4 linked regions of the Elephas maximus indicus genome follow. The protein of the gene in region 2 purifies or fractionates together with the protein of the main gene of each other region. This does not show direct contact. Links are inferred from orthologs where the notes say so. Each region holds a gene or a part of one and is shown on either strand. Other genes may lie near its edges. The genes, in order: RAB1A, OCRL, SNX9 and PLEKHJ1.

Evidence for each region.
Region 1: the proteins of OCRL (region 2) and RAB1A purify together in Homo sapiens (co-immunoprecipitation; 3 studies listed by BioGRID and IntAct, with this or other methods). This does not show direct contact. The link is inferred for Elephas maximus indicus from reciprocal best matches to the Homo sapiens genes OCRL and RAB1A.
Region 3: the proteins of OCRL (region 2) and SNX9 purify together in Homo sapiens (co-immunoprecipitation; 3 studies listed by BioGRID and IntAct, with this or other methods). This does not show direct contact. The link is inferred for Elephas maximus indicus from reciprocal best matches to the Homo sapiens genes OCRL and SNX9.
Region 4: the proteins of OCRL (region 2) and PLEKHJ1 purify together in Homo sapiens (co-immunoprecipitation; 3 studies listed by BioGRID and IntAct, counting the BioPlex papers as one, with this or other methods). This does not show direct contact. The link is inferred for Elephas maximus indicus from reciprocal best matches to the Homo sapiens genes OCRL and PLEKHJ1.

The regions. Positions count from the first base shown.
Region 1 is NC_064835.1:71,584,358-71,591,706, reverse strand, and holds the start of RAB1A (ras-related protein Rab-1A), read right to left. Parts: upstream 3,019-7,349; 5' UTR 2,796-3,018; coding exon 2,773-2,795; intron 1-2,772. UniProt on the Homo sapiens protein: The small GTPases Rab are key regulators of intracellular membrane trafficking, from the formation of transport vesicles to their fusion with membranes.
Region 2 is NC_064846.1:26,926,607-26,934,133, reverse strand, and holds the start of OCRL (inositol polyphosphate 5-phosphatase OCRL), read left to right. Parts: upstream 1-4,515; 5' UTR 4,516-4,700; coding exon 4,701-4,739; intron 4,740-4,978; coding exon 4,979-5,058; intron 5,059-7,527. UniProt on the Homo sapiens protein: Catalyzes the hydrolysis of the 5-position phosphate of phosphatidylinositol 4,5-bisphosphate (PtdIns(4,5)P2) and phosphatidylinositol-3,4,5-bisphosphate (PtdIns(3,4,5)P3), with the greatest catalytic activity towards PtdIns(4,5)P2.
Region 3 is NC_064819.1:230,099,612-230,107,392, reverse strand, and holds the start of SNX9 (sorting nexin-9), read right to left. Parts: upstream 3,016-7,781; 5' UTR 2,779-3,015; coding exon 2,767-2,778; intron 1-2,766. UniProt on the Homo sapiens protein: Involved in endocytosis and intracellular vesicle trafficking, both during interphase and at the end of mitosis. Required for efficient progress through mitosis and cytokinesis. Required for normal formation of the cleavage furrow at the end of mitosis.
Region 4 is NC_064821.1:3,016,813-3,024,331, forward strand, and holds PLEKHJ1 (pleckstrin homology domain-containing family J member 1), read right to left. Parts: upstream 3,008-7,519; 5' UTR 2,945-3,007; intron 2,649-2,944; 5' UTR 2,593-2,648; coding exon 2,499-2,592; intron 2,381-2,498; coding exon 2,313-2,380; intron 2,069-2,312; coding exon 2,002-2,068; intron 1,264-2,001; coding exon 1,173-1,263; intron 1,074-1,172; coding exon 1,010-1,073; intron 931-1,009; coding exon 865-930; 3' UTR 421-864; downstream 1-420.

The sequences.
Region 1 (7,349 bases), on a different chromosome or scaffold from region 2:
GCACAGTCTAGAATATAACAGCAGCCTAATGGTGAATGGAGCCCCGGTGGTACAGCGGTTAAAGCCCTCAGTTGCTAACTGAAAGGTCCACTGTTTGAAGCCACCAGCTGCTCCACAGGAGAAAGATGTGGCAGTCTGCTTCCATAATGAACCCTTGGAAACCCTCCGGGACAGTCCTACTCTGCCCTACAGGGCTGCTGTGGGTCAGAATCCACTCGACGGCAATGGGTTTAGTTTGTTCTTTTTTTTTTTTTTAAAGGAGAATACTCGAACCTGGAAAAAAACTGTAAAAACTATTTCTAGGTTTGATTCTGTTGAAGTCAATAACCCATAGCACTCAAAAGAACGGATGGTCTGACACCATATTTACTAAAGAAATACTGTCTTTATAATTGAAAGTTAATAAATTTCCAACTATAAAAGCAGTATATATGAACTGAAAAAGGTAAAAGTGTAAAAAAAACTTACAACTGAGAAAGTAACCATTAATATTTTAAAGAATTTTCTTCCAGTTTTCTTCAGCGTATTTTAATATCATAATTAAGATCTTATTGTAAGCAGTTTTGCATCCTGGTTTTTCACTATTTTAACACTAATATTTCACCAAGTAAATTCCTCAGAAATGTTCTTTTTAAGGTCAGTAAAATAAGCCATTCAACAATATAATGTTTTCTTAAAAAAAAAAAAAAGTATTGTTCTTGCCATTTATCAGCCATTCCTCTACCTTTTACCCCCTTGGAAAATCCTCATTCCCTTCTGCTTCACCAAATCTAATTGCTTCTAATTCCCTTACAGGTCCGTTTCTATAAAGGTCAGACCTTCCATTTCTTTCAAGCCTTCCTGAACCAAACCACTCACTCGCCTCTGAAATCTGGTTGCTTAGATTCATGCCACCTATCTAGAACTTGCTGTACCTACTGGTATTTGACATATATGCAATCTATGTTCTATATTCCCTTATAAACTCCTTGATGGTAAGGATTAGATCCCTAAATCCCAGCACTACTATAATGCTTTACATAACGATGTACACCACCTCAAGAGGACTCTTATAGTTTGAACCTCACGAGGATCCTGGTAGGAATAATGACGGGACCATTATCCTATTTTACAAAAATAAGAAACTTGTCAAGATTCTGTTCAACTAATATTTAAGATCTATTTACAGTACTGCATGCATGTAGCAAATATGAAAAACTCCCTGAACAGCAGAGGTTTACACACCTTCATAAGTGGTAAATCCACGTCCTCTACTGTTGCCAGGAAAACTCTGTCCAACTATGCAAAACCAACTTTGTCCTTGGAGCCCCAGATAAAGAAATAAAACACTGTCAACACAGCAAATATGTTACTACAAGTGCGCTATCCTCAACTTCTCGAATTATATAAAATTCTAATAAAATACTATGACTTCTGTTTAGTACAAAAGAAAGAACATTCCCACATCAAACCGCAGCATTACCAAACTTGAAGTCAGAATGCATTTTGCAAGAGCCATGTGACATACACATGACAGCTAATGAGTGGACTTTTCAAGCGGAAATGTTAAGCAAATAAACTCAACTTTTAGGACAAACGCTGATTTTTGCTTTAAAAAAAATTTCCCCTCTCCTCCTAAAAACTGCTGACTCTAAAGAGAATTATCAATTAAATCTTTTCCAAGTATTAATTTATATATATGTGCACGTGTGGAGGATACTGCAGGAGGATTTTTTCAATGGACACTGAGAAGAATCCTACCAAGTCTTCCCAAGGAAAGTAAACACCAGTTCCCAAGAAAGGAGCCAGGTGTGTCACATCTGCTGTGGTGACTTCTGAGTAAGCAAGAAAAAAAATGCATTAACTTTTCATGACACGTCATGGAGCCTCATTCCCTATCTGCAAGCATTCAAGCAGGTAATACAAAACCTACAGATCTACCATAGGTCCCATTCGTTTCTCTTTCAACTTGACAGCAAAGGATTCCTTGAATTTGGTAATATTAGGAAGACGGTCCTTGGTTTCAGTTTTGTTCTTTTATTTGACCTACGGAAAACAAAATGACTTCTGCGTCCTCCTTATAAAAAATAAAAATAAAAAAAACTCCCAAATGTCCAGGTTCTTAGGAAAGTAAGGGCCCGGCGAGTTCTTAAAGAACTCCTTCAGAAAACTCAAAGAGAGAACAAAAATTTTAAATCGCTTCTCGCCAGCTACTCATTCCCCTCAATCCCACGCAGTCCTGAAAAGCATCCATATTACCTGCAACCTGGCGGGGAGGATGGGAGGAAAGAGTAAATAGCCTCAGAATTTACAAGTAAAGCTGGTTTCTACCCTGGCGATCCTGACAGCTCCGCAGGGTGCAGGAACAGGGGCTGATAGTGCCCCGTTGGAGAGCTCTCCTACCTACCTCCGACCCTAAAAAATGAGTCCTTCAAAAGTCACTTCCTCCAAGAGAAGCTACCTCTTCCCACCGCCCCACCACTCAACTCCCAACGCCTGAATCCCCCCTCCCCGAAACTCTCTCGCGGCCCCTTCCTCCTCACCGGCCCTGCACTACGGCCTTCCCACCTGACCGGGTCCAGGCTCCCTCGGCTCACCCCTCCGGCCCGCCCCCTCCCCCCGGCCGCCCCTCCGCCGTCAGACAATGGGGCCCGGCTCCTGGCCGCGGGCCTCTCCCGCCCCATCACCCTCACCTCACCCCGGCCGAAGCCTCTACCCCCGCCCTCCTCGCCCCCTTTGAGATTCCCCAAGCTAGCCCACGGATCCAGCCGACCGGTGCTCTCCTACACTCACTATTCGGGATTCATGCTGGACATGTCACTGCAGCTGCCGCCGCCGCCACCGCCGCCCTTGCTGCCGCAGCCGCCGCCCTGACTCTCCGCGCCACAGATAATCAAAGGAGAGGAATGAGATAGGCTGTTCCGGGAGAGCAAACGTCTTCCCCCACTTCGTCCCCTTAGAACACAATCAGCAGCCGCCGCCACTCAGCTATCGCTTCCACCCAAAATGGCCGCCGGCGAACCAGGAAATAGGGAAGCCTTAGACCGTGGGGCCTTTACACGGCCAGGGGGCGGCCGCACCGCATGGCATGCCGGGAAAGAGAGTCGCAGGCCGCGTCTGTGAGCGCTAAGGACTGACGGTGCAGCGCAGGGACCAGGACTCAACTTCCCGCCAAGCGCTGCGCATTTGGTGCATGCGTATTTGACGGGCTGTGGTCCGCCTCATTCCCCCCAGTTTCACCCCCACCCAGCCGCTCCTCCCCGTTCCCCTCCCTGCTGACTCGCTGGCTAGGTCTTCGCTCGGACTCCCCCTAGCGGATTGGCTAACGCCGAGCTGCCCTGGTGATGTCATCAGTGAGACGTGGCAGCCGGGCGAGTCAGCGCCCCACGGGGGAGGGGGAAGGGAGGGGCAGAGCGCAGTGCTCGGGGCCGGCGGAGGACGGGGGTGGGGTGAGTGCAGGGGGCTGGGAGAGGAGGGAGGGAGGGGTCAGACCGGAGGGACAGCCTGAGTGCCGAGGCGGGCTGGCCGGGGGTGTCGGAGGACACGCCTGGCGGGTCCGCCTCTGGTGCGGCTTTTGCTGGCCTCACCACCTTGGGGCTTGAGCTTCTAGGCCGGTCCCAGGATGCCCGCTCTCAGGATAGAAGGGAAGTAAAAGGCACTTTGCCAAAGACTTCGGGTCTCTGGAAAACACAAAGCCGTTCTTTCAGTTCTCTTCCTCACTCTTCCAGTGGGTCCGATCATCCCAGTATTGGCCGCACGCAGTCCCATTTTCTTGATTTCTTTTCATTCCTATTCCAGCCCGCTCCTAGCACCTCACCCTGGATATTGCGGTAGCTTCCAAATGGACTCTGCATCTATTTCTTCTCCACCCCAGCCCATCTTGCACACACGGCCAGATTTATCTTCCCGAAACAGCACTTTCATGTTGACTACCCCACATCTTCAATGGCTCCGCATTCCGTGGATGAGACACAGCCCAGAGTCAGCCTAAAATTCGAGGTCCCTCCTGTTCGAGCCCCAGCCTTTGAGTGGAAGTGTACTGTCTTATTTTTAATTGTTATTAGTACTGAGCCAATCTGTAAGATTGGACAGTAGTGAGGGATAGAAACGCTCAATACATAACTAGAAACTCAGGGAGTAATATTGATACAATTTTGAAACCTTGTGGTCTTAACAGCTCTCTTTAATCAGTTCAGGAATTTAAATCACTAAACTTTTAAGACATTATCTTGGGTTATTTAATTACGAAGGGCACAGTATAATACGTTGTCCAAAGTTTATCTTCCAACTTGCTCTAGGAACCAAGAAAATTATCTCCTAAGGCTTATTGCAAAATCATTTTATATTCTCATGACATCAAAGTATAGAAAGAAGGTGGTTCTTATTTCTCCCCATTTTTACTAACTACAACTCTTAATCCCCAAATAGTGCTGGCACCTTAGTTGATAACCTCATCAAAGGTACACTAGAGTTCCTTCACATTATGCTGGTTTCTGAAATGAACACAGTCACTACCTCAGAAGAAGGACCCAGAATGGGTCAACGATAGACACCCTGAACAGTAACATACCTCAGTACTTCTAGCTTATTGAAACTTCATAGAATAAAAAATGAGAAAAGGGCTCAAGGACTTCTCCTGAGCCAAAAATGCAATTTTTAATCTCTCCTTCCTCTTGGAAGCATACCCCCAAAGTCCTTTACTTATTTCTTTTCCTAGCAAAGAAGTACCTTCTAATAACTTTTAACCTAAATTGGTTGTGAGAATGAAATAAAATCGAATAGAATTGTAGAACACAATGACTTTTTGAGGGCACTGGTTAAAAATTCTCTTTATCCTCTTCCCTGCAAGTTTTAAGTGTACCTGCTATACACTAAGGACAAAAAGCTTTATATCTCATTATGGTATAATATGCAAGTAGCAGCTTGAGAGTGGTGGGTGGATGTTTCAACTTACTTCAAGTTGTTTAAGTCTCCAACTGCAGCAAGTCAAGAAATCTAACAACATATTACATTGGGCAAATCTGCTCCAAAATACCTATTTAAAGTGTTAAAAAGTGAAGGTATCATTTTGAGGAGTAATGTGTGCCTGACCAAGCCATGATATTTTCAGTCTCCTCATATGCATGCAAAAGCTGGACAATGAATAAGGAAGATCAGAGACAGATTGATGCCTCTGAATTATGATGTTGGTGAAGAATGTTGACTATACCATGACTACCAGAAGAACAAACAAGCCTGTCTTGAAAGAAGCCAGGGTGCTCCTTGAAAGCAAGGATAACAAGACTTCGTCTCATGTACTTTGGACGTGTTATCAGAAAGAACCAGTCCCTGGAGAAGGACATTGTGCATGGTAAGGTCAAAACAAAACAAAAAACCAAACCCACTGCCGTCAAGTTGATTCTGACTCATAGCGACGCTATAGGACAGAGTAGAACTGCACCGTAGAGTTTTCAAGGAGCGCCTGGCAGATTCAAACTGCCGACCTCTTTGTTAGCAGCTGTAGCACTTAACCACTATGCCAGCAGGGTTTCCTGGTAAGGTAAAGAAAAAAAAAAAAAAATTTTTTTTTTTTTCTTTAGGTAAAGAGTCAGCAAAAAAGAGAAAGACCCTCAGCGAGATGAATTGACACAGTGGCTACAGAAATGGGCTCAAACATGGCAATGATTGTCAGGATGGCGCAGGATCTGATAGTATTTCTTCCTGTTGTATATGGGGTTGCTATGAATTGGAACTGACTCATCAGTACCTAACAACAACACTTTTATAGTTAAGATTAATAACTCAGAATAATTCATTAAACTAGCATGAGTCTTATAGGCTGTCCTCTTGTTGAATCAGAACTCTGCTAGGGCTGTTTGTCTCTTCTTTTTTTCTAACTTTCATTTCTCCGTCTCTTTCCACTTTTTTTCTTCATCAGGTATTCATGAGCTGACACAAAAATGTGTCTGGAACTTATGCTTAAAACAATGTGTTAAATGTGTTTGGAACTTGTTCTTGGAACAATGGGAAATGCAAAGACGAATGATTATAACTGTCTGTCTTCAAGGAGATTACAATCCAGTGGGAGAGATGTGTACACAAACAAGGCATAGAGGGGCAAATGCAAAGATAGATTAAAATGATATGAGATGTATAGGGACAGGAATCAAATCAGTGATTGGCAGGAACTAGGATTGTCAAGAAATCAAACAACGTATTGCAGGGGGCAAATTCGCTGCAAAAGATCTGACAAAGAAAAATCTCATACTCTGTTAGGAGTGAAAGAAAAGGGGATTTATTGAAGAAGAGTAACAGCTATAGCTGGGAAGCACTAGGTAAAAATACAAAGTGCTCCAAAATTTACAAACGAAGGCAAGGTTTTTTATACAAGAAGGTTAGAGTAACTGCAACTGCAAACAGACCTTTCTTCATATCAGTTAATCTATTTTCAAACACATTCTTCTAGAGGGCAAGCATTTTTTTTTTTCTGAGAACGATCCACACACCCTTCCTAGAATCATAGTCAAAGAAAAATAACCACATTTGTTTGCAAAGCAAGACTTGTTGATGAGAAAGTGGCACTAATACTTAACAAGCAGCAGGAGGAGTTTAAAACAAAATGGAGTCTGATTCAGACCTGTGTCAGCCATTTTAGTTACCCCAAGCTCCTCAGTTTTAGAGTGCTCTTTCACAGACCTCTTTAAAGAGTTAAAAAGCAAAGATGTCACCTTGAGGACTAGGGTGCACCTGACCCAAGCCATGATATTTTCAATCACCTTATATGCATGCAAAAGCTGGGCAATGACTAAGGAAGACCAAGGAAGAATTGACGCTTTTGACTTATTATAGTGTTGATGGAGAATATTGAATATACCATGGATTGCCAGAAGAATGAACGAATCTGTCTTGGAAGAAGGACAGCCAGATTGCTCTTCAGAAGGAAGGATGGCAAGACTTTGTCTCACATACTTTGAATATGTTATCGGGAGGGATCAGCCACTGGAGGAGGACATCATGCTTAGTAGAGTGTCAGTGAAAAAGTAGAAGACGCTCTATGAGTTGGATTGACACAGTGACTGCAACAATGGGGTCAAAGCAACGGTTATAAGAATGGTGCAGAACTGGGCAGTTTTTTTTCTGTTGTACATAGGGTCGCTGTGAGTCAGAACTGACTTGATGGCACCTAACAACAACAGGTATGGGAAGGAAGGAATTGTTTGCTAAGGGACACAAGGGAACTTTTTGGTTTGATAAAAAATACTCTATATCTTGATTGCTGTGGTGGTTAATTACTTAACTGTATATGTTTATCAAAACTCATATAACTGTATACCTAAAAGAAAGTTGATTTAACTGCATGTAAGTTATACCTCAATTATAAACCTAGTATT
Region 2 (7,527 bases):
TCTGTGTATTCCTTCTATCTTCTTTTGATGCTTCCTGCATTGTTTAATATTTTCCCTATAGAATCCTTCACCACTGCAAATCAAGACTTGAATTTTTTCTTCAGTTCTTTCAGCTTGAAAAATGCCGAGTGTGTTCTTCCCTTTTGGTTTTCTTTTTCCAGGTCTTTGTACATGTCATCATAATACTTTACTTTGTCTTCTGGAGCCGCCCTTTGAAATCTTCTGTTCAGCTCTTTTACTTCATCATTTCTTCCATTTGCTTTAGCTACTTGACGTTCAAGAACAAGTTTCAGAGTCTCTTGCTTTCTTTTTTTCCTGTCTTTTTAATGACCCCTTGCTTTCTTCATATACGATGTCCTTGATGTCATTCCATAACTCCTCTGGTCTTTGGTCCTTAGTGTTCAACGCATCAAATCTATTCTTGAGATGGTCTCTAAATTCAGGTGGGATCTATTCATGGTCATACTTTGGCTCTCCTGGGCTTATTCTAATTTTCTTCAGTTTCAACTTGAACTTGCTTATGAACAATTGGTGGTCTGTTCCACGGTCGGCCCCTGGCCTTGTTCTGACTGATGATACTGAGCTTTTCCATCGTCTCTTTCCACAGATGTAGTCGATTTGATTCCTGTGTATTCCATCAGGCGAGGTCCATGTATACAGTCGCTGCTTATGTTGGTTAAAAAAGGTATTTGCAATGAAGAGGTCATTGGTCTTGCAAAATTCTGTCATGTGATCTCCAACATTGTTTCTATTACCAAGGCCATATTTTCCAACTTTGGGTCCTTCTTCTTTGTTTCCGCTTTTGCATTCCAATCGCCAGTAATTATCAATGCATCCTGATTGTGTGTTTGATCAATTTCACACTGCAGACACTGGTAAAAATCTTTAGTTTCTTCATCTTTGCCCTGAGTGGTTGGTGCGTAAATTTGAACAACAGCCATATTAACTGGTCTTCCTTGTAGGTGTAAGGATATTATCCTATCACTGACATGTCTTGAAATGTTCTTTTTGATGATGAATGCAATACCATTCCTTTTCGAGTTGTCACTCCTGGCATGCTAGGCCGTATGATTGTCTGATTCAAAATGACCAGTACCAGTCCATTTCAGCTCACTAATGCCTAGGATATTGATGTTTATGTGTTCCATTTCATTTTTGATGATTTCCAATTTTCCTAGATTCATACTTCGTATGTTCCATGTTCTGAGTATTAATAGATGTTTGCAGCTGTTTCTTCCCATTTTGGGTCGTGCCACATCAGCAAATGAAGGTCCCAAAAGCTTTACTCCATCCATGTCATTAAGGTTGACTCTACTTTGAGGAGGTAGCTCTTTCCCAGTCGTATTCTGAGTGCCTTCCAACTGGGGCGGCTCATCTTCCGGCACTATATCAGACAATGTTCCACTGCTATTCATAAGGTTTTCCCTGGCTGATCCTTTTCAGAAGTAGATCACCGGATCCTTCTTCCTAGTCTGTCTTAGTCTGGAAGCTCAGCTGAAACCTGTCCACATGGGTGACCCTGCTTGTGTTTGAATACTGGTGGCTTGGCTTCTAGCATCACAGCAACACACAAGCCCCCATAGTATTACAAACTGACAGATACGTGGAGATCGAGTTTATCAGACATTGTCAAATTGCTTTTCAAAGCAGTTCTACCAATTTACACTCGTAGCAGTGGATCAGAGTTCTATCTTTTCTACATCATCAATAGCACTTGGTGTTGTCTGATTTTTTAAATTTTTGCCAAACTGATGTTTGTGAAATAGTATCTCATGGTTTTAATTTGCATTTCCCTGAAAAGTTGCACATACTTTCATATCTTTAATGACTGTTTGGGTTTTCTTGTCTATGAATAGCTTGTTCATATATTTTTGTCAATTTTTCTACTAAGCTTCTTTCTTTTACTGATTTATAGAAGTTCTTCATATGTTCTGGATACTAATTCATTCATTCATTTAATCAGTATTTTTTGAGCATCTACTTTGTTGCAGGAAGGGCTTGACGCGCTGGAAATACAGCTATGAGCAAAACAGACAAAAATTTTTGCCCTCATGGAACTTACATTCTATAGGGAAAGATAAATGATAAACAAGTTCGATAAGTAAAATAGTATTTTTTTATATAATAAAATATAATAGATAGTAATAAATTCTCTGGAGAAAAATAAACAGGGAAGAGAAATAAGGAGCATGTTTACTTGAGGTGGAAGGATTGTTGAATTCTAATTTTAGATAAAGCAGTCTGGGAAGGCCTCATTGAGAAAGTTACATTTGAGCAAAGATGTGAAAGATATGAGGGTACAGCAGACGGAGCAGGAAGTAAAAAGGCCTTGAGGTAAGAGCGTGCCTGTCAAGTCCTAGGAACATCAAGGAGCCAGTGTGACTAAGATTAGTAGGAAAGAAAGTCAGAAATGTGATGATGGCCAAAAGTGTAGAGCCTCATAGGTCATCCTTTGTTTGTTTTATAAATTGAAAATGTCTTCTCCTAGTCTGTGGCTTGTCTTTTAACATGTTTTGAAGTACATACATTTTGAAATTTAATTAAGTTAAATGTATTGACCTATTCCTTATTGTTTATGCTTCCTAGTATCAAGTAATCATTCTTACTCCCTATTCCAAGGTCATAAAGATATTCTATTTTCTTCTGAATGTTGTAAAATTTTTCTTTTTTCACAATCAGATTTTTAATCTACCTGGAATTGATTTTTTTCCCCTCTGTGGTATGAGGTAGGGGTCTAATTTTATAATTTACACTTATGGGTAATCAATAGTCCCGGCACTTTTTGGTGGATAATCTGTTCTTTGCCCACTGATTTGAAATGTCACGTATGCTTAATATCAGCTTTCCATCTATGTGTGGGTCTGTTTTGGGGCTCTGTGTTCTATTGGTCTGTCTATCTCCATACCATACTGTCTTAGCTACTATAGCTTTAAAATCAGTCTTGGTTTCTAATCCATTGTAGAGTCTGAGCAGATAAATAACACAATTTGCTATGGATTAAATTGTGCCACCCCGCAAAAAAAGTGTGTTGGAATCCTAACCCCATACCTGTGCATGTAATCTTGTTTGGAAATAGGGTTTTCTTTGTTACATTAATTATATAATATCTGAGTAGGATGAGTTCTAAATCTAATCCCTTCTGAGTTATAAAAAGAGCAGATTAGACATAGAGGAGTGCTTGTGTGGTATAAATGGTTAAGCACTGGACTAGTAACCAAAAGGTTGGCAATTTGAACCCACCCAGAGGCACCTTGGAAGAAAAGCCTGGCATCTGCTTCTGAAAGGTCATAACTGTGAAAACTCTATGAAGCGCAGTTCTACTCTGCATGTATGGGGTTGCCATGAGTCGGAATCAATTAGAAGGCAACTGGCTGGTTGGTTTGTTTTAAGACGCAGAGATAGGAATGCTTGCGGGTGGGAGGGGTTCACCCTGGACTACCTACACAGAATCACCATTGAGACCCTTATTTGTGCTTTTAGCCTCCAGAACTGTAAGAAAAAAAAAATCTGTTCTTTAAAGCCATCCACTTGTGATATTTGTGTTACAGCAACACTAGCTAACTAAGCACAGTTAAAACATTACTCTGGGAAGAATATTTTTATGACTGTGAACAAAGTAAAATGGTTAAAGGAGAGATTAAATCCAACCTGACTTATTTGGGGAAAATGCAGTAACCCAGATAGGCTATCACAAAGGCTTACAATAAAGTACTGGTGGAGAGAAAACAAGGAGTAAAAGTAATTGCGAAGAAAATATTAACGAAGCTTGTTGGCTGATTGGATTCAGAGAAATTAGGAGAGCGGCAGAAAGCACATGGCTTTGCAGTTTTAAGCCTAAATGTCTGGGTGAAATTATTATGAGTTTCGTTAGTGTTATGTTAACAATGGAATATATATTAGGTAAGAGTTCCGGGGAAACCCTGGTGGTGTAGTGGTTAAATGCTACGGCTGCTAAGCATAAGGGTCGGCAGTTCGAATCCCCCAGGCGCTCCTTGGAAACTCTATGGGGCAGTTCTACTCTGTCCTATAGGATCACTATGAGTCGGCATCGACTCGACCGCACTGGGTTTGGTTTTTGGTTTTTAAGAGGTCTGGGCCAGGGATATAGATTTGGAGGTTGCCTGCTTAGAGTTGCTTTGGAAGGGGCGCAAAGGAGGAACAAGGCTCTAAGCTTTGGGGGATTTTCCTACTTAGGAATAGAAGAAAGAAGAGGACTGGAAGAACATCTGAGAGGTAGGATAACCACCGCGGTGCGTTAAAACATTAATAAGGATTTTTTTTGACTGGATGATATAGGTCCTATTGGCCTAACACGTTGTGAGTTCCCTTACAGGTATGACTGCGTTTTTGCTTCTGTGGTCATCTTCAAAGTACCCAGAACCATTCGGGTGTCACAGGTAGCACTGAAAACGCATTCCTTGCTGGACGTGGTAGAGAAGCCCCCAGTCCGTCGGGTCTCTCCCTGCAGTTCCGCTGCTTGGCCGCAGGGGGCGGAATCTGCGGCGGACTGGAAAACCGGCGGGGGCGTGAGGCGCCGCTCTCTCTCGGGTCAGGCTCTCGGCTCCCGGCTCCCGGCTCCCGGCGCGGAGCCGTTCCTCAAGCGACGCGCAGCAGCGGCGGGCGGGGGGAGAGGACGCGGGAGGCAGCGTCGTCGGATCCGCCCGCAGTCCGCAGCCCCGCTGAGCCCAGAGGCCGCCCGGATGGAGCCGCCGCTCCCGGTCGGAGCCCAGCCCCTTGCCGTATCCGCCCGAGAGGAGGGGGAGGGGAGGCCGAGCCGAGGGTGGGGGCCGGGGGACTGCGGAATCCTGGGGACCGGGTCGGGGGACGGTGGGGCCCAGAGGCCGAGCAATGCCAGGGGGTGCGGGGTGGTGCAGGAGGCGACACCGGGGGGTCGGGCAGAGGGGCAGGAGGCTCCCTCCGCACCGCACCACCCTCCCTGGGCGCGCTTCTAGAGGAGACCCTTAACCTGTGCCCACATACTGTCGAGGGTATGGAGATGAACGGGCCCCTTCGGGAGCCCTGCGCCCTAACCCTAGCCCAGAGGAACGGGCAATATGAGTAAGTAACCACCAGATCCCACAGAGAAGGGAGCTTGCCATTACCCCCACCCCCAAACCGCGACCACCCTGCCACCCTCCTGCCACCGAGGCCATGCGGGCAACAGGTTCAGGTCCAGGTGTGAAGCGCGAGTGCTCTGTAACGACGGGGCTGTGCCCTGAATTTCCAAGCCGCTAGCTTGTGCCAGGCAGTGTGGCTTAGTGGGAGGACTCAGTGGGCAGGGAAGCAGGAAGCCTGGGTTCTTAGTTCCTGTCCCTGCAAACTGACATGTGTTGTGTAACCTTGGGTAAGTCAATAAAGCTTGCTTAGTGTCCTCATTGCTTAAGTAAAAATATGAACTGCCTTACCTTATAGCCTTTGGAGTTATAACTAGAGGAATAATTAATAAATGGGGAAGTGTTTTACAAAAACTTAAAGCGCTATAGAATTGCTGCACTACAAAAGTTAAAGACTTGCCTTTTCTTAACCCCATTCAACTGGTTCCTCCAGTCTCCCCAGCCCCCATCCCACCAAATTCAAAACCTTTCAACTCACTCTAAGGAATGCAGAGTCATTAGTTCAGTAATAGTTTTGTGGAGGCCTCACACATTGAGAGAGAAAGGGTAATGAAATCTGTAGAAGTGTAAATGACATTTGACATTTTATCAGTGTGTGTCATCTTGCAGTTTGCACATAGGAGCTCAGTAAATACTGGTGATGGATTGATGAAAAGTTTTTTTTTTAATCACTGTAGCTGTTGATCTCACTCCTTTGCTACTAACGCCTCATCTCCAAAGTATCCATGGTGAGACCACAACATATCAGAGGCCCCTATCTCTGTGCGCCCAAGTCACCTCCTGTAGGTGCCCACTGGTTTCTTGATGTCAGATTTCTCCTGAGGTTAAGTGTCGACCCCTTCAACCCTGCCATCTCCCAATATTGGATTCTGCCTAAAAACAATTTCCCTCAGCCCCCACTTTCAGAATCTCCAGACTCAGTCTGTGTCTGGCTATCTAATTTACACAGAAAAAATGTCCACTGGCCTAGCCTGTCCTCTTCTGAGACTATTAGAACCACTTTAACTGGACATCATCTGGTTCTGTGAAGTAGCTCTTCCCTGGGCCCTGCTTGGTCATTTCTGTTGATGTGGGAAATTCATGTTATTTTTCCAGTTTCCGCAAACCCTGGAAGACCAGTTTAATAAACTAAGTTCAACAGAAAAATGGATTAAAACCTGGAATACCACTGCCACTTCCAAAGGCTAAGATGGGGTGAAGAGAACAATGGATGTGGAATCCACAGACCTGGGTTGAATTCTCAGTTGTGCCACTTTTGAAATGTGACCTTTGAGCAAACCAGGAAATGTTTTGTGCCTCAGTTTCCTCTTCTGTAAAAACAAGATTATGGGGATTAAATCGAATAGCTCCTTATGGAAATGACCACAGTCTAGGATCTGGTGTCTTGGTTTTGTAGGGTTGGAACTCTGTTCAGCTAATAAGCGACTGAGCAGCTGGCCTTGAGATAAATAAGCGCCTCATCCTATCGGAGCTCTGATACTAGAAGTACTCTTAAACTCACAACGGTAGCTCTCCTGACTATTTGTATCTTCTTCACGGAGAAATCAAATTCTTGTGTTCTAATTCTGTATAAGGTATTATAGCAACAACCAACATTTAATGGCTCAATATGTTCAAAGCACTTTTGACAGATCAGTTCATTTGACCCTCATGTGAGGATTATGATGAAATAGCAAGATGATGATCATCATCCCTCTTTTATAGGTATAGAAATTGAGGTACAGAGAGATTAAGTCACTTCTTCACAGGAAGTATCATAGCTGAGTTCTGAACCTCTGCAACATAGCTCTGGTGCCCCAGTTCGCAACTGCTACTCCATGCCTCCTCCCAGCTACGTAGGGAGGCTTGACTCTCAATCAGTAACCTATCTCAGAAATACATTATCTGAGTAGGTTTTTGAAAATCATTCCCTGGAGACCCCCTAATACCATAATACTATCTATAATCTCAAATTCAAGTCTTTTGGGTGCCTTCTCTGACTTGGGTAGCCAGAATTTTTTCATTTTTATTTTTTTTACTTTGGGCCTTTTTATCCTATAATTTGAAGCCTATCTTAATCTTCAGGGCTGTAGCTCTTGCTTGCAACCATAAAAAACCAAAACCAAACCAAGTGCCGTCGAGTCAATTCCAACTCATAGCGACCCTATAGGACAGAGTAGAATTGCCCCATAGAGTTTCCGAGGAGCGCCTGGGGGATTTGAACTGCTGACCCTTTGGTTAGCAGCCGTAGCACTTAACCACTACGCCACTGGGGTTTAGGAGAACTTTATTTGAGAGGCCAAAATTACAGTTAAAAAGGTTTTTGGAAATGGGGAATCAAACACTAGGGTTCAGTTTTTTTAAGGATAATAGGTTACGATAGAAGCTGTTGGTTCACCTTAAACCTTCTTTGAACAAATCAAAGAAGGCATTT
Region 3 (7,781 bases), on a different chromosome or scaffold from region 2:
CAGCTCACTACACAGAGCCTGGGGTCTTAAAAGCTTGCAAGTGGCCATCCAAAGTACAATTGGTCTCCATTCGCTGGAGCAAGAGGAAAAAGAATGAGAGCCAGGAATAGAGGGGGAAATCGAATGTGAGGCTAAATGCCTCCATGAACAACTGTGCCCTTTGCCATGAGACCAAAAGAACTGGATGGTGCCTGGCTACCACTACTGAATGTTTTAATCAAAGATTCTATAGAAGATACAAGGGAAAGATTAGTCCAAAGGACTAATGGACCACATCTACCACGGCCTCCACCAGACTGAGCCCAGTACAACTAGATGGTGCCCAGCTACCACCACTGACTGCTCTGACAAGGATCACAATAGAGGGTCCTGGACAGAGCTGGAGAAAAATGTAGAACAAAATTCTAACTCAAAAAGAAAGACCAGACTTGCCGGCCTGACAGAGACTGGAGAAACCCTGAGAGTATGGCTCCCGAACCCCCTTTCCGCTCAGTAATGAAGTCACTCCTGAGGTTCACCCTTCAGCCAAAGACTGGACAGGCCCATAAAATAAAGCGAGACTAGGGGCACACCAGCCCAGGGCCAGGAGGCAGGAGGGAACAGGAAAGCTGGTAATAGGGAACCCAAGGTTGAGAAGGGAGAGTGCTGACATGTCATGGGGTTGTTAACCAATGTCATAAAGCAATGTATATTAAAAAAAAACCTGTTTAATGAGAAACTAGTTTGTTCTGTAAACCTTCATCTAAAGTACAATTAAAAATTAAAAAAAAAAAAAGATTCTATAGAAGAATCCTGATCAAAAGGGGGGAAATGCAGACAGAATTTCATGTTCATGGAATCCAGCTTTTCTGGAGCCACGGCAGTTGCATGAAGCCTTGAAACTATTGTACTGAGATAATCTTTAAACCGTAAACCAAAAATATCCCCTGACATCTTCTCAAAACCACAGTTCAGCTTAAGTAAAGAATGTCTGCTTGGAGCACTGAGTGTTTTAAGATTTATCTACATGGGATCAAATTGACAATAGTTACTTGAAAGACTGGATAAGAGACTTAGACGTGTGAGTGTCTGTGTTAATGAGGGAGGAACAATTCGATAAAGGAGAATGAGAATGGTTGCACAACTAAAAGAATATAATCAATGTTACTGAATTGTACATGTAGAAATTGTTGAATTGGTATGTTTTGCTGTGTATATTCTCCACAAGAAAAACAATTTTTTTTTAAAAAGTACATGTAACATGCCTCAGTAGATACGTCAGAGTGGAAAATACCACAACACTATGATCACGTGTAAGGATGCAAGATGAGTGTATAATGGGATGTGTAACTGGTGATTTCTGGAATGTTTGGCAACATACCTCAAAATCAAATTTCCTGAGAAATTCTTAAGCTTTGTTTTCAAAAAGGTCAACAAAAAATTAGTATGTGTTAAGCAAGTGGGGCAAGTTCTATCCCATCTAATAAAACCCAGTATGTCCAATAATATATTAGCAAGAAGGTAATAATTTCAGTTACATCAGGCAACAGGTTACCTGGAGATGAACATACACACTAAGAAGAATTCAGAGCGCAAAATTTAACAGCCTGAAATGAAATGAGACAATTCTCACCTTTCAAAGAAATTTCAAGTTTCTAATCACTTTTCTAAGTAACCCTCTCCCAAAAACAAAAGCCAAACAAACAAAAATTAAGGTTTTCACTGTTCCAAAAGTAGGTTATAGATTTCAAACCAGACAGAAAAAGGGTGCTGATGTTTATGAAGGTCATACTACAGTGACTATTTGCAAAAGTAAATCCAAGCCCCAAACCGTATCACATTATCAACAGCACACTGAACCAGGAGCCGCCTATCTATTCCAAGTCCTCATGCAGCGACAGTGGCTTTACCTGTTAATATTTTACATCAAGTATCTACTGAAAACGCCCCAGGAAAAGGGAACTGGGGAGTGTGGCTTTTGCTGACTCTGGGAGCAAAAGGTGACTGCTAATTTCACAAATAGACTAAAACACGCAAACGAACCCTCCTGACCAATTCCCTAGTCAAAGTTCCACCATGTAGCTCGGGCGTGGGCCTTTTTTCAAGCAAACACGTCACTGAAAGCACAGTCATTTCCCTCTTTATATTTTATTCATGCTGGAAATACCGTTCAACCTGAAAATGTAGCAAAACAAGAAAAATAAAAAGAGAAACGAAGTCGACACGCGGAGCGTTTAACTGCAATTAAATGAACGCAACGCTCCCGGGTGGCTTGGCCGTCCACCAGCCCTGCTCGGCGGCCCGGGCTCGGGGACTCCAACCCGCCCTGGCCCCACGGGCCCCGCACTAGGTAGCGGCGGCTAGGGCGCGCCCCTCGGGCTCCCGCCTCCAAAACACAGCACCGCGGAGAAGGGGGCGCCCGGGAACCACCCCAACTCTGCAAAGGGGCCGTCCGCATGGGAAACTTCCGAGCTGCGGCAACTTTCCCGCCAGGTTTCAGGTGCAAACTTTGCACAGGGCACCGTGCGAGGCGTCCCATCCGGCCAGGCCCCCCTCGTCCCGGGGTCCCCCGTCCTGGGGGCCCGCCCGCGCCCCTTCCACGCCTGGAGCGGGCCTCCAGCGCCCTCGGTGCGAACGACCCCGTCACTGCCCGCCCTGCGCGACCGAGCCCCGGCGGGGCCCGGCCCCCCTCAGAGGACGCGGCGCGGCTCCTCAGCCTCCCGGGCGGCGACCCTCCTGTGCTCCGGGCGCCGAGCGGCGGCCAGGCCTGCGCCGCGCGCCCCTCACCTTGGTGGCCATGGCGGGCGGGCCTCCCGGCCCGGGACGGCCGGCTCCTCTCCCGCGCCGCGGCTGGTCGGGCCGCGCGGGCCAGCGAGGACGGCGGCGGCTCCGCCTGGGCCCGACTCTCGGCGCTCAGGCCCCGCCGCGTCGCGCTCGGAGACTCCAGCCGCCGGCCACTCCTCCGGTCCCTGAACCGCCCGGCTCGGCCCCCGCCCCTGCCGGCGAGGCCGCCCATTGACCGCGGCGCGGCGCACAGGCCGGCGGAAGCGCGCCCGGGCCTCGGCGGCCGGCCTCCGCGCCCACTCTCCGCCCCGCCCGGCCCCTCGCACAGCCTCGACCGCTGCAGCCGCCTGGCGTCTTTTGTCCCAACGCCCGAGGGCCGCTGCCCGGAGGGGTCGGGGCCGGCTACACGGGTCACGGAGCCAGGCGGCCGCGAATTAAACGTTCCAACACAGTGGAGACATGCTTGTGTGTCGACCCTAATCCCACGTAGACGCTGCGCTCCGGGGACTTAGATTTACGTGCGGGGTGCAGGAGTGTGGCCCTAATCACTATACACGTCCCGGGCAGGGTATGGGCCACTCAATCGGGGACTTTGTCTGTGTCGGGAGGGTTGTGGGGTCGGTTGTGCTCGGGGCAAAGTAACTGAGTGCCAAATCAACAGCCAGGAAGGAGAGGCGCAATGGCTTCCTGGGAGGACCCGTCCTTCCTGAAGGAGGTTCTGCCTCAGCCTGGAGTTTTACCGCGGGCTGGAATCTCGACTAGAGCTTCTGGGCCGGGACTCTCGGGGCTTGCATTCTGAGGCGTCTCATTAACCTCTTTCATGACTCTTGATAAATTAAAATGTCTCAGGGCCCCAGAGGTTTTGGGGAAGACAACAGGTCATCAGAAGTGGAAATAAAAGGTCTAAAATTTTTCTTTTTTGTAAAACTTTTTCTTCAGAGTTGTATGTATGGATTTTATTAATAAATGGATGACTTGAGCAGCCAAATTTTCACTCAAGTACAGAACTCATGACGAAAATATATCTTGGTTGGTATAATAATCTAGTACATTTTGTTTTTATTATCAGTGATATATGTTAGAAGAGTCATCCATCAAGTCAGTTTTATTAAGCTAGGGAAGTGGTATTTACAGTTAAAGTCACATTTGTGTCCTCTCGAACATCTCTGAAGATTTCACTTAATTATATTAAATAAAGTGTTTTTCTTAATAAACACCAAAAATGCATTGCCATCGAGTCGATTCCGATTCATAGTGACCCTGCAGGACACAGTAGAACTGCACTATATAGAGTTTCCAAGGAGCGACTGGTGGATTCAAACTGCCATCCTTTTTCGTTAGCAGCGGAACTCTTAACCACTGCGCCAGCAGGGCCCCTCAAGGTATATAACACTACAGAATTTCATGTGAAATTTGTGTTTGCTGAGCTCATGGCCAAAGTTAGAGTCATCATCATATTCATAAATAGTTGTCTTTATAAGTAAAAGGAAAGCCAAAGACATATTCACTGACAGCCTACTTGCTTTTTTTTTGTAGTTTTTACATGCGTTTATCTCATTTAATCCTTGTAAGGAACCTTTGGGAAAGCCGTTATTGTTCACTATTTACAGGTATGAAGAAATCAAGCCTAAATGAAATAACTTGCCTGGTTTGGCAATACTGCTCAGCAGTCAAAACTGAAAATGTCCATAACCTTGAACTCAGCAGTTCTAGGAATTTATCCTCTTGTCAGACTTGCACAAGTGAGGAAAGATGATCCTTAAAGCATTGTTCTGTAATAATCCCAACCAGACAGCAGCCAATATGTTTGTTAATAGGACTGTCTCAATAAATACGGTATATCCATACAAATGAAATGCAAGGCAGCCCACGAGAAAATGGTAATATTTTAAGAGGTATTAGTACTGGTGAAAAGAACGTTATGTATAGTACAATCCATTTGTGTAAAAAATAGGTAGATATGTTGTATATGCCTAGACAATTTCTGTAAAGATTCACGGGATGCTATTTTCAGAGTTTTTGACCAAGGATATGTATTATTTTAACTATTTAAAAAAAAAACATGAATTCATATTTTAATAAACAAAAAACTAAATAATGACTAAGAGCATGTACCAGTATGTGACGATGTCAGGATCTGAACTCAGGTAATACTATAAGTAAGGTGTTCATCATATTCTTTTAAATTTGAGTATAGCTTCCTATACTCAAATTTAAAACACACGCTTTAATAGGAAAGTCAGGGTCATACATGTGAAGATAGGCCTTTCAGCATGTTCAACTGGGAACTTCTGGGCAACTAGCCATCCTGGGCACCTAGAACCAAGAAAGCAAGAAGTCCAATCTTTTCCCACTTGAACATTTTCTGTAGCCCTGGCTTCAATCTTAGGAGTAATGATGGAGACACCACACTCAGGATGACTGATGCAGACCAATCAAAATATTTAAATAAAAACAAAATCGCTACCGATATCATTGAAGTAGTAAACACACCATGGCATTGTTTTAGAGGACTCAGAAGTCATGGATGTCATTCACCTCAGCTTCAGGTGAACTTGATCTCCAACTCCATCTCACACCACCTTCCAGAGCTCTTTCTTCAACCACACTGGCCTCTCAGATTCTCCTGAGCATTGCGGCCTCTGCCACAGAGAGGACCAGAACCAGCTTCTTGGGCATATGACCTGTGTAGTCAGTTGCACAGGGTCCCCTGCTTAGAAGGGCCCATGTTTGGCTTAACGCTCTGCTGCCACCATCCTGAAATTCTTAATAGATTTTGGACAAGAGGCCTCACATATTCATTTTTCACAAGACCTTGAAAATTAGGTAGTTGGTCCTGGCAAGGATACTGCGTTTGTTATTCCTTTGTCTGAAATGAAAAGGTGATACTCTCCCCACCCCCTTCCACACACCAGCTAATCTCCCATTGGTCCTTCAGAACACCCCTGAAGTTACACACCAGTCACATCACCGTCATATCCCGTGTCTCTAGCTCAACACCTCGCTCAGAGTAAGAGCCCACTAAATATTTGTTAAATGAATGAATGAGAACAGTTGAACAATCACAAATTAAGCACTATAGCATTTGCCCAAATATACTTTCAAGGAACTCAGGATTACGTGGAACAGAAGGTAATGCGAAACATTGCACAGTACAAGATTTCTGCAAGTTTTATTTTATATACTATAAACTTCTGTTAAAAAAAATTACTACTCCATAGAAGGGATATTCTGCTATGACAACATTTTATGAAGTGAGGATTTTGACTAATGCATATGAACATAAAACTGCTAAATTTAACAGTATTTCCTGGAACTGTAGTGCCCAATTCATTATTAAAAATGCAATAAATAGAAATTTTAATCATGTTCAGGATAACTTTAGTGTGACTTATCATTGAACTATACATGTTTATCGATAATGTACTATCTAGTCTATTGGTTGGCATTTGTCTGGATATAATTGCCAAATACACGGAGTTGCAAAATGTCAATCCCTCCTTTACAGCCGCAGATAAGGGGCCAGGGACGTTATGACTTACTCGAGTCCGCATATTAAGCCCGAGAAGGAACAAGCACCTACCTCTCTATCACAGATCCCTGAACATGTCATTTTCAAACTAAAAACCATTTTAGGTGAGAAGCTTGTAGGGAGTTGCTTGAAGGCCTCAAGAGTCACTATTGAGAATAGGATAAGGACTCCAATCTCAGCTGTGTTAGCAGCTACCACTCAGCGCCCTCCTGCCCACATTGGGAGAAGCATAATAGCATCTTTTCAGCATGAAGTCCAGGCGCCCAGTGGAAGAGTGGCTTTTCCCAAACTAGAAAATGGATTTCACTCAGGATAATCACAAAGAGCCCTGGGCAAAGTTAGGAAGTAGGTGGTTTTGTCTTCTGCTTCCATTTGATCACCCATCCACATCTCTTTCTTCCTTATCTTTCCCTATATGTTCCTTTGAGCAACTTTGAAGGTGGCACCCTACACTGGCCTAAGCTCAGAGTGAAGAGCCTAGCTTTGAGCCTTGTTGTTAGGTGCCATGGAGTCCGCTTTCGATTCATGGCGACTCCACGTGACAGAGTAGAATTACCCCATAGGGTTTTTTTTGGCTGTGATCTTTATGGAGCCGGATTACCAGGTCTTTCTCCTGAAGAGTGGATGGATAGGTTTGAACCGCCAACCTTTTGGTTAGCAGCTGAGTGCTTAATGGATGAGGCACGAGGGCTCCTTCACATTGAGGCTGGCACAGCTAAATTCAGGTATTTCTTCTACAGCCTGAGTTTCCATTATGCCCATTGGTGAGAACGCAGTTGGTTAGTTAAGAAATTCGATTTGCATTTGCAAACTACTTTTGGTTATAACTAGACTGCACTTTCAAAACAAAAAAGAGCTGTAGCCAGAACAACAGAGGGGCTCTGTTTAGGCTTCCTGCCCTTTAATCAGGACAAAGGAGATAGGGTGATAAGGATTTATAGGAAGCCCTGTGCTGGTGACAGGCTGGTGGTGACAGGAAAAGAATGACCATTAACTCTTGTCCTGGATCTGTTCAGTAATGTTTGGGTGTTATGGTTACGGACTTACGGTGTTAAAAGCACTTTTGTTTTCGCTGCAGAGATTAATAATAACTTCATTGTTGTAGTTCAGAACATCTCTAGTCCTGAGTACATTTTTCACGTTGAAATGGTAGTTTTAAAAATTCATGTTTTGATAACTTGAAGTTTGTTAGATATAGGTATGGTGGTTTAACAAAACACAAATACAGCCCCCTTGCCATTTCCCTTCTCTCTTTTTTCCTCCTTTCATCCTTAGGAGCACTTACTTCATGCCAACAGATCTGGATCCTGTTACTTACAAACTGTGGTACATTACTTAGGCACACGTTACTTTTCTAATCCTCAATTCCCTGAACTGCTGAATGGGAGTAATAATAGTACCTACTTCACAGGTTTGTTGTGTGGACTAAACGAGATAATGAACCTGAAGGACTTAGCAAGATGATATGTACATAATAAGCAGTCAA
Region 4 (7,519 bases), on a different chromosome or scaffold from region 2:
CACTTTGAGAGCAGCAGCTGCTGTGATTGTGGGGGGGCCGACTCCCACTTTTAAGGGCTCTCACCTGTTTAGGCCAGCCCACCCAGGATAAACTCCGTTTTGATTGATTCAAAACCATCTAATTTGACACTTTAATTACATCCGCAAAAACCCCTCGCCTTTCCTTTACGTGATTGGTTAGATGTGTCACAGGTCCCACCCACATTTGGGGGCGTGTCAGGGAGTTGGACTCATCTTAGGGTTCCCCCTACCCCCTACTCTCCCTACACTTGCCATCAGGGCCTATGCTAGAGGCCCCGTGGGGTCCGGACCTTTTCCCACCCGGGGCCTAGGGGCTCCTCCCTACCATGCAGCCAGCGCCCCCTAAACTGACAGACGGCTGGATCCCCCAGCCCCCCCATTCTCATCATCACCAACCAGTAGAAAAAGAGGTACGTTTATTTCAACAGGAGCACATGGGCGAGGGTGGCCCTGTCCAGCTCCGCCCAGAGGTGTGGCCATGGCACCGCCCCCCGTCAGCAGGAGTGAGTTCACATTGGGGCAGGCGGTGGTGTCTCCACGCCCTTCACAGCTTCACAGTCTGACTGTACATTCAGCCAGCGGGAAACCCCCTGCTCCTCCAGGGGGTAGCTGGGGGCGGGGCGGCCCGGTGCCAAGAAGTGGACGCTTGCCCCCCGGCAGCCTACAGCAGCAGCGGCCCCAAAGGGTGGCCAGTCCGTGTGCGTTCCTCCACAAGGGCCACCCTGCACCCCACCTGGCCTTAGGGAAGACAAAACACCTCCCCCACAAACCCAGCCTACACAGGGGAGACCCAGGAGAAAGGGCTCATCCAGCCCTGAGCAAGGGCCTCGCCAGTCCAGGGGCTCATGCCTTCAAGCTGCTCAGCTGGAACCGGGTCTCCTCAGAGATGCCAAACTGCTCCAGGGGATCCTGGGAGGGGGGCAAGGGCAGGAACAGTGAGCCCTGGGCCCGGGAGGACCTCGCCGCCGCCCGCCTGCCCCGCACTCACCTTGCCTGTCATCTTCTGGATCTCGTTTCTGTAGAAGACAAGGCTCCTCCGCATGAACTCGTAGCTAGGGAGACAGAGGAGGTGAGTGGTCACCGGCTCCATGGTGCCCGCTGGTCCCCACAGATGCCCCGCCCCGCTGATGCCCCACCCCCTGCTCCCCTACCTGGCCCGGCGCAGCGCCTCAATCCACTCCTGACACTGGTTCTCACTGCAGCACTGAAAATGGTACTTCCTCTCCGTGTCCTCCACGAAGGCTGCCGGGGGTTGGGGCGGGGGGGCGGGAGGGCCTGTCTGTCCCGCTGGCCACAGGCCTCAGCTTCCTGCTGATACTGGCCACACCCTCACCACTGCCAGGCCCGGGCCAGGCCCGCCACTTGCCAGCTTCCACTGACCCCAGGATTTTGGGACCCCAGCTTGCACACCTCACGGCCTTGCTCATATGCTATCACCTGTCTGCAACACCACCCCTCTTCTCCAGGCAGTCCTCCTGGCCTCACCCCTCACAAACCACACTGAGCTGGACACACCTGTACCGGGCTCCACCTCCCCCTGCACATTGGACCTCAAGAAGAGAGCCCAGAAAACGGAGTATGAAGACATCCCAAGAGATCAGTGCTTAATCAAGCAAAACAAAGTTCTGGTGGCCTTTGGGGGAGGGGCTTGGATGCCGGGTGGTTCCTCCCCACCATCATTCCCCCCCACTATCCCAACAGCTGGAGTCCAGCCTGGGCCCCATGGGGAGGGCAAAGTCTGGGGCGAGGCCGCTGGGGAGGAACCCCGCCTGCAACGGCCTTGGCAGGTGGACAGGTGGTGTGCCGCCCAGAAAGAAACCTGACCTTGAGCTGCCAGGGACAATGGCCCCTTGTTTCTGGGGAACGGTGGCGCCAGGCTGGGGAGACAGGTGGAGCCTCGGGCGCCTGGGGAGGGGACGACGGGGACCCCTGCATGTCAGTGCCGGGGATCCGGCTATCCTTGCCACCAACCCCACTCACTGATGGAGAAGCCGCTGGGCTCTTCCCGGTTGACTCGGCAGTGCTCCAGTACCAGGGCTCCGATGGGCTGGAGATACACGTAGAAGCGGATGGGGGCGCAGGTCACCCTTCCCCAAGGCGCCTGCCCCTTCCTGGCCTGGGTTTCCTCCCCCTCTTGGGGGCGGATTCCACGAAGGAGTCTGAGACAGCAAAGTGACAGGACCAGCGCCCGACTCCTAGCTTAAAGGGGGCAAACAAGGCACTGCAAACCCAAGGGCGGGCTGGTCCCGCTCGTCCCTGGGACCCCCGCCCTGTCCGGACAGCGCCCCTACCTCGGCCTCGTCCGTCCGGAAATAGAAAAGGAAATTGACCACCAGCTTCACCAGCCGCCGCTTCACCACTGCGGGCACAGAGCCGGCTTAGGGCGCGTGGCCGAGGGGCCACTCCCGCGCACCCCGTTAACCCGGACCCCCGAGACCCGGAGACCGCGCACCCCAGCTCCCTGGGCGCCCACTCACCGCTGCCCTTCTTGGGGCCCCGCATGCCCAGCTCGGCCGCCATCTCGGCCGGCTGCCGGGATAGCGCCTGCAGCTGCTTCTCGTTGTAGCGCATGGCGCCGCCGGGAGAGAGAACGCGATCCCAGACCGCCGCCCTCTCGGCCGCCGTCCCTGCCGGCGCCAAAGAAAGTCTCAACTCGCAGCCCGGAAGTGCTGCCAGAGTCAGTGCCCCTGAGCGCTACCCCGGGCTGCTAATCTCGTCCCTAACCGGTGCGTGGCGCTGGTGTCCGGGGGCCGGTGGACAGTCATTACTCATTACATCACCTCAAAATACATTGCCCCGGGGTGAAGACAAAATCAAGGACCACCCAAAGACCGGCGGCGCCCTTAATGGAGGAAGGGGGAAGGCAGAAGGGAACAATAACGTTTTAGAGAAGAGCCATTCCACCCTTCTCGCGATAGCTGACCTCGCGAAAGCTGAAGACAACCGAGAGTTCGGCGGGAGCGCTGTGCGCACGCGCGCTCCGGCTTCCGGCCCGCACTCTGAGCCCCATCCCCTTTCCCTTGTGCGCGCGAGTGTCTCTCCTGCGCCTCTGGCCGGGCCGAGCATGCGCACACCGAGGCCCTGCGCCGATTGCCCCGGAAGTGCTTCATTAGTCTGCGACGCGCGAACGCGGGGCCGAGTGGTGGCGGCGTCTGTTGCGAGTGAGTAGCGGGCGGCCCGGGGCGAGGGTGGCGGCCACCGAGGGCCTGGTTTCCCTGAAGCGTAGCGGATGCGGGAGAGAAGCGCCTGTAACGGGCCGCGCGGCTTGCGGGGCGCGAGCCGGAGGGCGGGCTGGCGGCCGGGTCGCGTTCCCCTTTCCCGCCTGGCGGAGTCGGGCTCTCTGCACCCGGGTTCTCCCCGGTGCCCGCGCATCGCAGCTCGGCGGAGGGCCCGGCCCGGCGAGGCCAGCCCGACACCCCCTCTTCCGTCTCGAAGCTCTCCCGGGAAGGACCCGCTGAGGTCTGGCCACTGGGTAACAGTAATCGCGGCTGCAGTGGTTGTGAGCTGCCGCTTTGTAACGGAGGGCTCTTATGGACACTGTTTTATCTCCGTTAGTTGATTGGCTTTGTGATCGGGGGAGAAGCACTTAATCCCTGGGAGCCTCAGATCCTTTAACTGTAAAATGGGGGTGCCAGCGGTAACCGGCCCTGGGTTAAATAAAGTGTTGGGGAAAACTATTGAAAACGAAATCTATGCCCAACCCAGAAAACCTGTGCACAAAAATAGAAGGAAAAGAAAAGTTTTGCTATTCAGTAAGTATTAAATCAGAACTGATGTATCACAGGCAACCCACTGAAGAGATGGCAGAGAGAAGAAATCTGATCCGTTATGTGGGTGAATGGATGCAACTCATTGCATTGAAGTGTTGAAGATAATTGTTAATTTTCTAACCTTTATAGCTCAGATAGGGCTGGGCCACCTGTTTATGCTAATCGCCTGCCAAGGAAAATGGGAACATAGAGGAGGATTACAAGTTATCTAAAGTGAACTCTGGTGGCGAAGCGGTTAATCGCCCAACTGCTAACAGAAAGATCGGTGGTTCAAACCCACCAGCTGCTCTTAAAGAGAAAGACCTGACAATCTCCTTTTAAGACTAAAAACCAAACCCATTGCTCTTGAGTCGATTCCGACTCAGAGCAACCCTGTAGGACCGAGTAGAACTGCCTCACAGGGTTTCCAAGGAGCGGCTGGTGGATTTGAACTGCCGACCCTTTAGTTAGCATCTGAGCTCTTAAGCACTCCACCAGCAGGGCACCGACAACAACAAAGTGAATTCTGAAGAAAATAATAGAGATGGGGCATTCCTTCTCCTGTTTTCACGGGAATTCAAATCTTTTGAATTTGTCCTTTCAAAGGCCATTTGGGTGATACACGTTACACACCGTAAGAACCCAAAAAAAACAAACCCGTGAGAGCAACTGGGAAATATTAGCCATCACCACTTTACAGGTGGTCCTCAGGTTGCATGACTTGCCCAGGTGGTCAGACCTTGATGCCGGGCACTGCTGCTCAGTGCTGTCTCCCAGCTTCCCTTTGGCAGCAGGGAACAACTGGGAGAAGCTCTGGGAAAATGTTTGCTAGGATTAAGGAGCTAATGCGCAGTGGAGGTTCAGTGGTAGAGTTCTCACCTTACACGCAGGAGATGTGGGTTCCATTCCTGGCCAGTGTACCTTGTGCAAGGCCACCACCAGTCCATTTGTCAGTGGAGTTTTTTCTGTCACTGTGATGGTGAAAAGGTTTCAGCGGAGCTTTCAGACTAGGATGGGCTAGAAAGAAGGGCCTGGCAATCAGTCAATTTCTGAAAACAGCTAGTGAGAACCCTGTGGGTTCCACGATCCAGTCTGCAGCCGATCATGGCAATGGCACATGACTAGGCAGCGAATTGTTCCATTGCGTGTGGGGCATTATGAGGACAGCAGCTAACAACAAGATCGTAGTGTTTTGTCAAAACCTGCTATTCCTTCTCCCTTGTTCAATCTCAGCTCCCAGAAGCCACCTCTCTACAGTTTTTAAAGGCAATTCTCTTGGTCTTTGATTTGGTAAATAATATGCTTATGTCTTACTTTATTCATCTTGGGCATTATCTCCTGGCTTCCTACCAGGGTTGATGAGGGTTTATTTGTCCTATCCACCCCAGCTTCTCTCTCCATGCCTCAAACTCGATTACATCAGAAGTTTTTTTTGAGTCCTTGACTGTCTGAAAATGGCTCTTTCTTGCCCTCTCACTTAGTCTCCCAAATTAGACGTTTAGCTGGGTGTAAAATTCTAGGTTGAAAATGTGACGGTCATTGGTTTTAAGCTTCCAGTGTTCTTGAAAAGGCTGGTCCCATTCTGGTTTCTTATTTTTTGCTTGTGACTGGTTTTCATTTTGTTTAAAAAAACAAAACCCATTGTGGTTGAGTCAACTCCGGCTCATAGCGACCCTTTTAAGACAGAGTAGAACTGCCTCATAGGGTTTCCAGGGACCAGCTGGTAGATTCAAACTGCTGACCTTTTGGTTAGCAGCCAAGCTCTTACCCACTGTGCCACCAGGGCTCCTCTTTCTGGTAGAGGTTAGGGTTTTGCCTTCGTCCTTGGTAGTGTAACATTTCACAGTCCATTTGTTGAGGGTCTTGTGTTTCCTGGATAACGTTCTCCTCTTCTTTGTTAGTATTCTGTGCTGCTTTCCCGTTGTCACTTCGTGGAACTGTGTCTAAGTTCGTTTTTTTCCCTCGTATTTTATTCATCGTTTTCTTCTTTATGAGTAACCTGCTTGACTTTTACTTTCAAGTTCTCGTGTTGAATTTTAGTTTGAGTCATCTCATTTTTGCTTTGCAGGGGGGTTGGTTTTTTTTTTTTGTTTTTTGACTTGTTAATGTTTGGCACTTTATTTCAGTGTCTTGGTACAGTAACTTGTTTTCTGGGAGAGAGGTTAGTGGTAGTTACCTCATTTATCTTTATTATAAGCCTGCAGGTAGGCAGTGACAGGTATCCTATTTTACAGATGAACAGACAGGTTGAGGCAGTTAACTGATGTGCGCTGATCACACAGGTGATATAGTCAGAGCTAGGATTTGAACCAGGCCTGTCAGGCAACGCCTCCAGCACATCCTTTCTACACACAGGAGGCTCTCGGCTGATGTTGGATTAGGAAGGTGAACGATGTGTCTCGAAGAGCTTTCCACTGGGTGTCTTTTTTCCTCAAACGTGGTGGGACAGGGAACAGCAGCCGGTGTGCTGTGTGTGCGCCAACCTCGGGCCGGGCTCAGGCCATGGCATTGGGCGGCTCTGGGCACCTGATGGGGCGAAAGAGGGCGAGACTTGCAAGTCCAGGGTGTTGGTTGGCATATGAGTATCCTGTGGCTGCTGTGACGGGTCACCACAAACTTGGGGACTTAAACTTGTTCTCTGGGATCAGCTTCACTGAGTGTCATCCAGATTTCTCCCGGAGGCTCCACGAGAGACCGTTTCCCCATCTTCCCCAGCTTCTAGGGGTCACGGCATTCTGCAGCTCGTGGCCCCTTTCTCCGTCCGCAAAGCCGGCAGGGGAGCATCTTCCAACCTCTGCCTGCTTCCGTCCCCACTGCCCTGACTCTGACCCTCCTGCCTCCCTCTTACAAGGCCCCTTGTGATCACATTGGGCCACCTGGGTGATCCCGGATCACCTCCCCTTTTCAAGAGCCTTCACGTCATCCGTTCGGAGTCCCTTTTGCCATGGAGGCCCCATATTCACAGGTCCCAGGGAGTAGTACAGAGACCTCTCTAGGGGCCACTCTTCTGCCAACTACACTCTGACTGCTGGCCCGTCCCCGTGAGCAGAGACAAGGTAGCGTGTGTCTAAAATCCAGGGGCATACGTGGAACACTCGAGCCTGGGCTTGGATCTGAGCTGAGCCAGAAGGAGCACAGGGTGCACAGTGGGAGGGGAATACTTAGGACTCAGGGAAGCCACCTCGCCCAGAGATGGGCCGTGACTGTTTCCTGTGTGTCCAGCAGGAAGGACCCAAGAGGCGTTTTCCTTATCTTTAAGAAACTGACCACCGAGCCAGAGAAATAGAATTAGAGGTAGATGGTGAGTGAGTGTAACCGACCAGAAAGGGAATTCAGAGAAGGGAGCAAATGCCACAGGCCTGGGCAGTCGGGAGGGCTCCCTGGAGGAGGGCCTCCCTGGCCCCAGCACTTGGGGCTCTGTGAGCTCAGTGTTGCCATTTCCGGTCTCCGGGCCTCTGGTTCCCCTGGCTGAAGTGACCCCCTCCCCCCACCCCAAGATCACTGGAACGAGCCCGGGCAGGTACCTTGCGCTCCAGGCAGATTGTGGCCCCCTTGTTTCTGGAGGCCTGCTCCACAGGAGACCTTCAGCCTCCTGGGAGAGACGGTGAAGGTCAGAGGGTGGTCCTGTTGGGGGTCGTGTGGGGCTGTGAGACTAGGACAGCTCCATGTCTCCCCGCAAGCAGGGTTACCTCTGCATGCCACCTCTTCCAGGCCGAGGGTGGGTACCAGCGATAGCATCACCTCCAGAA